Cricetulus griseus: one gene and its partner. The protein of the gene in region 1 purifies or fractionates together with the protein of each later gene. This does not show direct contact. Links are inferred from orthologs where the notes say so. Each region holds a gene or a part of one and is shown on either strand. Other genes may lie near its edges.

What was found. Proteins that work in one complex are often made in the same cells at the same time.
Region 2: the proteins of Mms22l (region 1) and Asf1b purify together in Homo sapiens (co-immunoprecipitation; 4 studies listed by BioGRID and IntAct, counting the BioPlex papers as one, with this or other methods). This does not show direct contact. The link is inferred for Cricetulus griseus from reciprocal best matches to the Homo sapiens genes MMS22L and ASF1B.

What each region holds. Positions count from the first base shown.
Region 1 is NC_048595.1:117,128,879-117,132,524, forward strand, and holds part of Mms22l (protein MMS22-like), read right to left. Parts: intron 1,682-3,646; coding exon 1,172-1,681; intron 1-1,171. UniProt on the Homo sapiens protein: Component of the MMS22L-TONSL complex, a complex that promotes homologous recombination-mediated repair of double-strand breaks (DSBs) at stalled or collapsed replication forks.
Region 2 is NC_048596.1:160,459,082-160,463,260, forward strand, and holds the start of Asf1b (histone chaperone ASF1B), read right to left. Parts: upstream 2,873-4,179; 5' UTR 2,716-2,872; coding exon 2,607-2,715; intron 2,105-2,606; exon of another isoform or gene 2,064-2,104; intron 1,999-2,063; exon of another isoform or gene 1,963-1,998; coding exon of another isoform or gene 1,881-1,962; intron 1-1,880. UniProt on the Homo sapiens protein: Histone chaperone that facilitates histone deposition and histone exchange and removal during nucleosome assembly and disassembly. Cooperates with chromatin assembly factor 1 (CAF-1) to promote replication-dependent chromatin assembly.

The sequences.
Region 1 (3,646 bases):
CGAGGCAAGCATATCTCTGACTTCAAGGCCAGCCTGGTATACTAAGCAAGTTCCAGGACAGCCACGGATACAGAGAAACCCTGTCTCAGAAAGACAAAACCAAAACAAACAAACAAACAAACAAAAACCTTCATATACTTGAAAAGTAAAACTTACAAAATGACAAAAATTCAAAAATATAGTTTGTATCCATCTTAAAGTTGTGTTCTGATTATATCTATAAATATATCTGTACAAATTATATTGACACAAACCATAAGCCTTCAATACTTTTTTTTTTTTTTTTGGTTTTTCCAGACAGGGTTTCTCTGTGTAGCTTTGGAGCCTATCCTGGCACTTGCTCTGAAGACCAAGCTGGCCTCGAACTCACAGAGATCCACCTGCTTTAATCCCGAGTGCTGGGATTAAAGGCGTGTGCCACCAATATTCAAGGCCGTGTGCCCGGCCCCTTGAATATTTTTTTATGTTAAAAACAACACGTTAATTTCAGAATATACAGACTCAGAAGGAAATATTTGAGGCATTGAGATTACAAATAATGTTTCAACTACAACTTAAAACCACTTTAAAAAAAAAATAGTACAATGTGGGAGGTAGAGAGACGGCTAGCCATAAAGGTCTTTACAGTGCAAACCTGATAACCTGAATCTGACCCCCAGATTCTCCATCGGGAGGACAGAAAATTGAGCTGCCACAGAAAGTGCACACCTACTCACATCCATGCATTACACACACACACACACACACACACACACACACACACACACACATCTCTCAATAATAAATATTAAAATAAAATAGTACATTATAGCAAAAACCTCCCTATGGGGACAAAATACCACAGGTTTCTATAAAAGTAACCTCAAACTTGAACTCAAGGTCTTGCTCAGACTAGCACACCTCTTTTTGTAATTACACATTTCAGAGGTGATACAGAAGGAAAGGTTCTAGAACAGACCAGGGCTGTTCCACTTTTGTTGCCTGTATCTCGATAAAAAGCTTTCTTGTGAAGAACTACTGTTTGAAAACTAATGATTTATGCCAGTGTAGAGGAAAAATCACCTCTTTCACCTACACTTTGTTGTATGTATGTATGTATGTATGTATGTATGTATGTATGTATGTATGTATGTGAAAAGTGAAGCTCACAAGCACTTGATGGAAAACATACCTGACTCTGGCCAGAACAGCTTGCAGAAAGTTCAGCACTGTCCTAAGTTCAGGTTCTCGACAGGCTCGCAGTAACATGCTAAATCCATCATTGAGAAGATGCTCGTGAGAAGGGTATAAACAACAGCTGGTCTCAAATACTTCTTGAACACCATCAATATAGATGCAAAGCAGTGTCCATAGAGTATGCCTCTGTACCATTTCATCGTTCTTAGATACCAAGAATTCCTTTGCTTTTTCTTGGAACTCACATGACAATTTCTCAACCCAAACACCAATGTCCAGATTTTTCTGTGCATACATCAGGAGGAATGCCATCTGACCCTTCCAAACAAGGGCTCTATGAGATGACGTGGAGGCAGGCCTGAGGAAACGAAGGAGGTCTAAAACATGGCTGGCTACATCTTCTATCTCTGCAACAGCTGCTAGCAGTAGAAAAAGACTGAAAAAGTTCTGGAGGCCAACTTCTGTTAGTTCTTCCATCCGTTTTTGATGAAATTTAGAATATATTCTATAAAATATAAAAAATTAGTATGATTATTTCATTAACTAAAATCATTTAAAAATACTTTCCTCCACTATTCATGACACAGTATTACTATAAGTTACCCCTAATTTTGTATGTGTGGTGCATGAATGTGTACATGCATATGGGCACATGTGTGCAGGTGCTTGTTTACACATACATATGGAGGCCTGAGGTGTCTTCCTCAATTGGATCCCACTTTGAGACAGTGACTCTCACTGAACAGAGTTTATGTTTTCAGCTAGTCTAGCTAGCCAGCTTGTCCCTGTATGCACCTCTCAAAGGCTAAGATTGTGTTAGCCTCTATATCTACCCAGTGTTTACATAGATGCCAGAGAGTCCCCAGGTCAAGTTTTAGTTAACTCTTCACCTTGATGTTGCCCTGTCACTGTTTCCACTTGCCACTGCCCACTGACTTAGCAAACCATTACAGATGATCAACGTTTCCCAAAGATGGTGGAAATGCTCTTTTCCTGTGATACATAGCTTTTCCCTTTGATTTCCATCATTTCCTTACTCCTTGACAAATAAGACAGAAAATATGTTATAGCATGGATTTCAAAAGGTCCACAAAGCTCTGAGGTTTGTTCAATAGTACTGTGCACTAAGAGACAGCTGCATCTTTAGGAGAGAGTCTAAGTAGAATTAGGTTAAGTGGAATCACTTACTTAGACACCAGCCTCCTGTCACTCTTTTACTTGTTGTCTGTTCCCTGACAACAAGATTAAGTGGTTTTGGCTCTGCGTGTGCTCTCATCAGGATGTGCTGCCTCAACCAAAGCAACAGAGTCAATGGATCATAGACTGGAACTCTAAAACCAAGAGCCCAAACAAACCTTACCTATTGAAAAACGCATCACTGCAGGGATTTGTCATAGCATCAGAAAACTAAGATATGCACTCTTTTAAGTACAATTTTATGTGCTCTTACACAAACTTTAACTGAACAATTTTTCAGAACTTTTCTCAAGTTCAGAACTTTTCTGTCCACCCTTCAGAAAAACCTGGTTTTATTTTGTACCTTAGGAAAATTCAAGGAGCTAGGTTATTTTTACCCATGAGAAGAAAAATTATGAGTGCTCAAATATATATGTCAGTCATTAAGAAATTTAATCTTTCATCAAAGCTACTTAGTATAACCTATAACCTTATGTACATTTCTCTCAACATTCAGGGGTTAGAATTGGAAAGCAATTCATCCTGACGTCCTACTCATGGACTGTTAAGTCCTGTAATTTCTATACTTAGTTGTTAAGGCCACAGATAATTAAAGCCCACAAGAGATTGAATGTTGTATAGCCAGGCGGTGGTGTCACATGCCTTTAATCCCAGCACTTGGGAGGCAGAGTTGAGCGGGTCTCTATGAATTCGAGGCCAGCCTGATCTACAGAGCCAGTTCCAGGACAACTTCCAAAGCAATACAGAGAAATCCTGCTTGAAAAACCAAAAACCAAAAACAAAAAACAAAAACAAAAACAAAAAACAAAACAAAACAAACATAAAAAAACCCAAAACAGAAAACAATGTAACTACATAACAGCTAATATGCTCCACAAAGTAAAGACCACTACTGGCCTATTAGTGTTATCAAAGAATTACAGTAATTCTTAATTAATGCAGTTGAGTTATTATGTCTTTCATAGAAACATTTATGTTTGAGAAGTATTACTGGTCTTGAACTCTATGTAGTTAAGGATGATCTTGAGCTAACAATTCACCTACATCCAGCTCCCAAGTGCTGGAGGGGTACACTACCACATTCAGCTCATTCAACAATGCTTGAAAATGTTCTCCCAGAAAGACAAATATTCTCTCCCCCAAAGTTCTTACCAAACAAAATGAAGAAGTAGCAGATGGTGATATACTACATAACAAAGGCTTTACAAGAGGGTTTCTATGTAGTCATGGAAGTTGAAAACAAAAAACAAATAAATTATATCCATTAAGCAAA
Region 2 (4,179 bases), on another chromosome or scaffold:
GCATGCCTTTAATCCCAGCACTGGGGAGGCAGAGACAAACAGATCAAAGATCTGTGAGTTCTAGGCCAGCCAGAACTATGTAGTGAAATCCTGTTTCAAAAAACAAACAAACAAAACCCCCACTATTGAGGAGGAAGAGATGGTGGGTTCCTGGCTCATTAGACAGCCAGCCTAGTAGTGTTAGAGCTCCAGGTTTTGCAGAGATTAAAATAGGTAGAACAGGGCTGGAGACTGCCCATGGGTTAAGAGCACTAGCTGCTCTCCTAGAGGCCAGGCAGGTTCCCACCATCTGCATGGTGACTCCCAAAGTCTGTAACTCCAGTTCCAGGACACCCAACTCCTTCTCTTAAACTCTGTGGTACCAAGCACTCAAGTGGTACCATAAATACATGTAGACAAAACACACACATTTTTTTTTTTAAAGAAAAAAAAATGGTACAGAGCAATGAAGAGCAGTTGAGGAAGACCATCTGGTGTCTCTAGCCCACACCCACAAATTAAATTCAAAAAATAAAATTAAAAAAAAAATCTGAACTCAGAAACAAACTTCAGTGGTAACACTTTACTGTCTGGCTGACTTGGAGAAATCATCCTGCTCGTATTACAATGGCCAGCAGCTGACTTTAGCCTTGATGTCCTAATTCCATAAATAAGGAATCAAAGTAATATTAGGTAATGACCATGCAACCATTTTTATTTGCAAAGAGCACACTCAGGCTGATTGAAACCTGCTCTCTCAGCATCTGGGAACTGTGATTCCATTGATTTATGTCTCCTCTTGGCTTCCAAATAAATCTTATCCCACATTGTTACCCTATATTTTATTTATTTACACCCTACCTTGTTCCAGCAAGGATTTAACCCAGCTTTATTCTATAGTTAAGCCACAAGTAGATTCCTTTAAACTTAAGGAGAAACTAGGGAGAGGATCAGCCAGTGGCCCACCCCAAGCACACATTATAGCAGCTCCAGGTGAACAGAAGTGGCTGGATTTGTCTGAACACCAACCACAGCCACCAAGAGGCACTAGTTTTCACAACCTAGCCTCTCAGAGCTCCACCTCCTCAGCTGCTACATCTTTCAACCCTCAGTAGGAAAATGAGGAGTGTTTCCTCCTAAAAGCAGGACTTGCCTAGTGTTAATATTTTGTTTATGATCTAACAAATAAAGCTTGCCTGAAGATCAGAGTGCAAAGCTAGCCACACTAGCTAGCCATAGAGGCCAGGCAGTGGTGGTACACACCTTTAATCCCAGCACTTGGGATACAGAAGCAGACAGAGCTCTGTTAGTTCGAGGCCACCTGAGCTACACAAAATTGAGCCAGTCTGAAAGAGAAACAGAGCTCAAAGAAAGGTGATCTCAGCACTTGGGATCCTATACCTTTAATCCCATCAATAGAGAGGACTATAAGGCGGGAGGAGACAAGGATGTGCAGTCTGAGGCAGTCTGAGCAGCAGTACAGTCTGGACATGCAATCTAAGGACAGGATCACCCTTTCTGTCTGAGGTAGAGGTAAGAGCTAGTGGCTGGCTACTTTGCTTCTCTGATCTTCAGCTTTAACCCCAATATCTGTCTCTGGGTTTTTATTAAACATGCTACACATTGCCTTGCTGTGGAGCTGAGACTACAAAGTGACCTCATGGTTAATGTGTTCACAGACTTATTTCAAAGGTCTTTTGGTCTTTGTGGCCCTTGTCCTGTCATCTAACAGCCACGTCCACCTTTATGTCCTGCAGATGAATGAAGTCATTCTGTGAAAGATTCACAAAGGCCAGCGGTCTCTCTCCCCAGCTGACTGAAGTTGAATCCCATCCCTGTTTGGTCAGTCACCCCCCACCACCACCAGGTCAGCCCATCAAAAGGAAGGAGGGATTCCTTACACTGAGTCTGCTGGAAGCTGGTAGAAATCCCAAAACTGGCAGAGGCCTGCCTGGCTGTAGCACCCCTTTCCCGAGTGTTCATCCAATCCCAGACCAGGAGCTGGGGAGGCCAAGTTATCTACAAAGAGCCAGAAGACCCCATCCCTCCCCGGGGGAAGGTCATGCATAGGATATGGTACTAACCTAAAGAGAGGCCCCGGTCTGGACAACAGCCATGACGTTACAGTTGGCTAGGAGGAGTTGCTAGGGACAAATGTGGAGATGTCTGGGGATGGTATCGATGGGAGACAAATGGGGTGGAAGAGGTCTTGCCATGGGCAGACAGGGTAGCAAGAGGAGGGTCTGCTGGTCTGTAGAAAAGCCGTCCATAAGGAAAATGGGGGAGGGTACTGGAGGTTGGGTTTCCATGGAAGAGAGAATAGATGGGAGGTTTTCTATGGGGAAATAGGCATGAAAATGGAGTCTAGCCATTGGGAAGAAGGCGTAGCCGCGGTCTCTTACACGCTAGATGGAGGCTTACACCACTACAAAGAAAAGGTGCCAAGGACAAGTGGTTCAGGACGAGGGGTGCCTCCACGAGACAGTGCAGGTTACCGTGCACTGGATCCTATCCACCGAGTTGGACCACGGAGGCTTATCTCTGAGTGGAGAAGTTCCCGGGGAGGCTGGGAGTGGCAAAAATGAGGGCAAGAGGGTTTGGGGTCCCCTGCACAGGCCCAGCCTCACCGTCAGACAGGGCCTCACTGCATTCGAAGCTGATCTCGAACCGGAAGGGGCTGTGGAAAGGGCTCGGGTTCTCCAGGACAGCCACGTTCAGCACCGACACCTTGGCCATCACCTCGCCAGGGGGTCACAGCTGCAGTGGAGCCTTCTCCGGTGTCCTGCGCAGCCAATGGCGGCTGGGGAAGAGGAGGTCGCCGAGGCAGAGAACCTCTCAGCGACTCCAACTCTTCTCTAAAGAGCGTCTCGCGTCCGCGCGCGGCCTTCAAATAGCTGACTCCACCCTCCAGCCAATCGCCGCTAAGGATCTATGACGGCGCGAGAGCCCCGCCAGCCAATCCTGAGGCTTCTTCCGGTTTGCGCCTCGACCCGCGGACCAATCAGAGAAGCTTCCTCTTCACGGTCCGCGGGAGGCGGAACGATCATCTTTTAGCTTCGCAAAGTGTCCATCCGGAACCAATCCCTAGCGTCTCCGACTCGAATATCTTGCGCCGGGGTGGGCGGAGTTAGAGCGCGGAACTTCTCTTGTCCAATCCCAAGGGTTACCGCATCGGCGTGACCCGCCCCCTCATTCTGCTCTTCCGGTAGGCACACCCCACAGAGAGCAGAGCCACTAACGGCCGAACGGTGGCGCGCGACTCTTACTTAAGAGCGCTGAAAGAAGGGAGCCAGAACTCGCCGTGATTGACTAGCGACCACGGGGCGGGGCTTCAGTAGGCTTCTGAGATGTGATTGGCTAATGTCGCGGCACAAGGAGGGCTGCGCTGGAAGCCGCCCTCCGGCTCAGTGAAAAGCATGAAGAGGCAAGCGTGATGGCGGCGCTCTGGCCTCCGTTTGTCCGCTGGTGAGCGTTTCCGGGAGCTCCTCTGAGGGACTCCTGGCCTTGAGGACAGCGGCCGTGAACATTTGGAGCACCCCTGAGACAAGATGGCGCGGCAGCGAGTGGGGACCCAGGATGGAGTCCCGGTCCGAAAGGAGTTGAAGTTCGTCGACGTACCAGGGTTTGGATCCTCTCTCCAGCCTGTTTTCCAACCGGTTGAAAAATTCACTGCGAAGGCCTGGGGTGGTGGCGCACTCCGGAGGCGGGGGCAGGCGGGTCTCTTGAGTTCGAGGACAGCCAGGGCTACATAGAGAAACCCTGTCTGGAAAAAACAAAAACAGAAGAAAGTTAACTGCCACTATTTATGACGATATAATGCGGTCTTCACTCCATGCCCCTCTGGCTCCCTAACCCTGCCACAGTCTCTTACACATACAACCAGTGAGAAATAATGCTAGCCACAGACCTTTTACTAATAAGTCTTTTAAAGGAAACAAAACAAAACGCCTGGAGTGCCGGTGTATATCCATTAATCCCAGCACTCAGGAGCCTGAGGTAGGCAGACGTCTGCGAGTTCAAGGCCTGCCTGGTTTACACAGTGATTTTGGGGAAGTAAATGAATAGATAAATTGGTTTTCACATTTGACCATCCTTAAAAGGCCAAGAAACGATGAGAGATTGATTTTAGTATTACATTTAACTCAATAGAACAAAAATGCTAATTTCAAACATTATCAGTATAAAAATGCTAATGAGCTA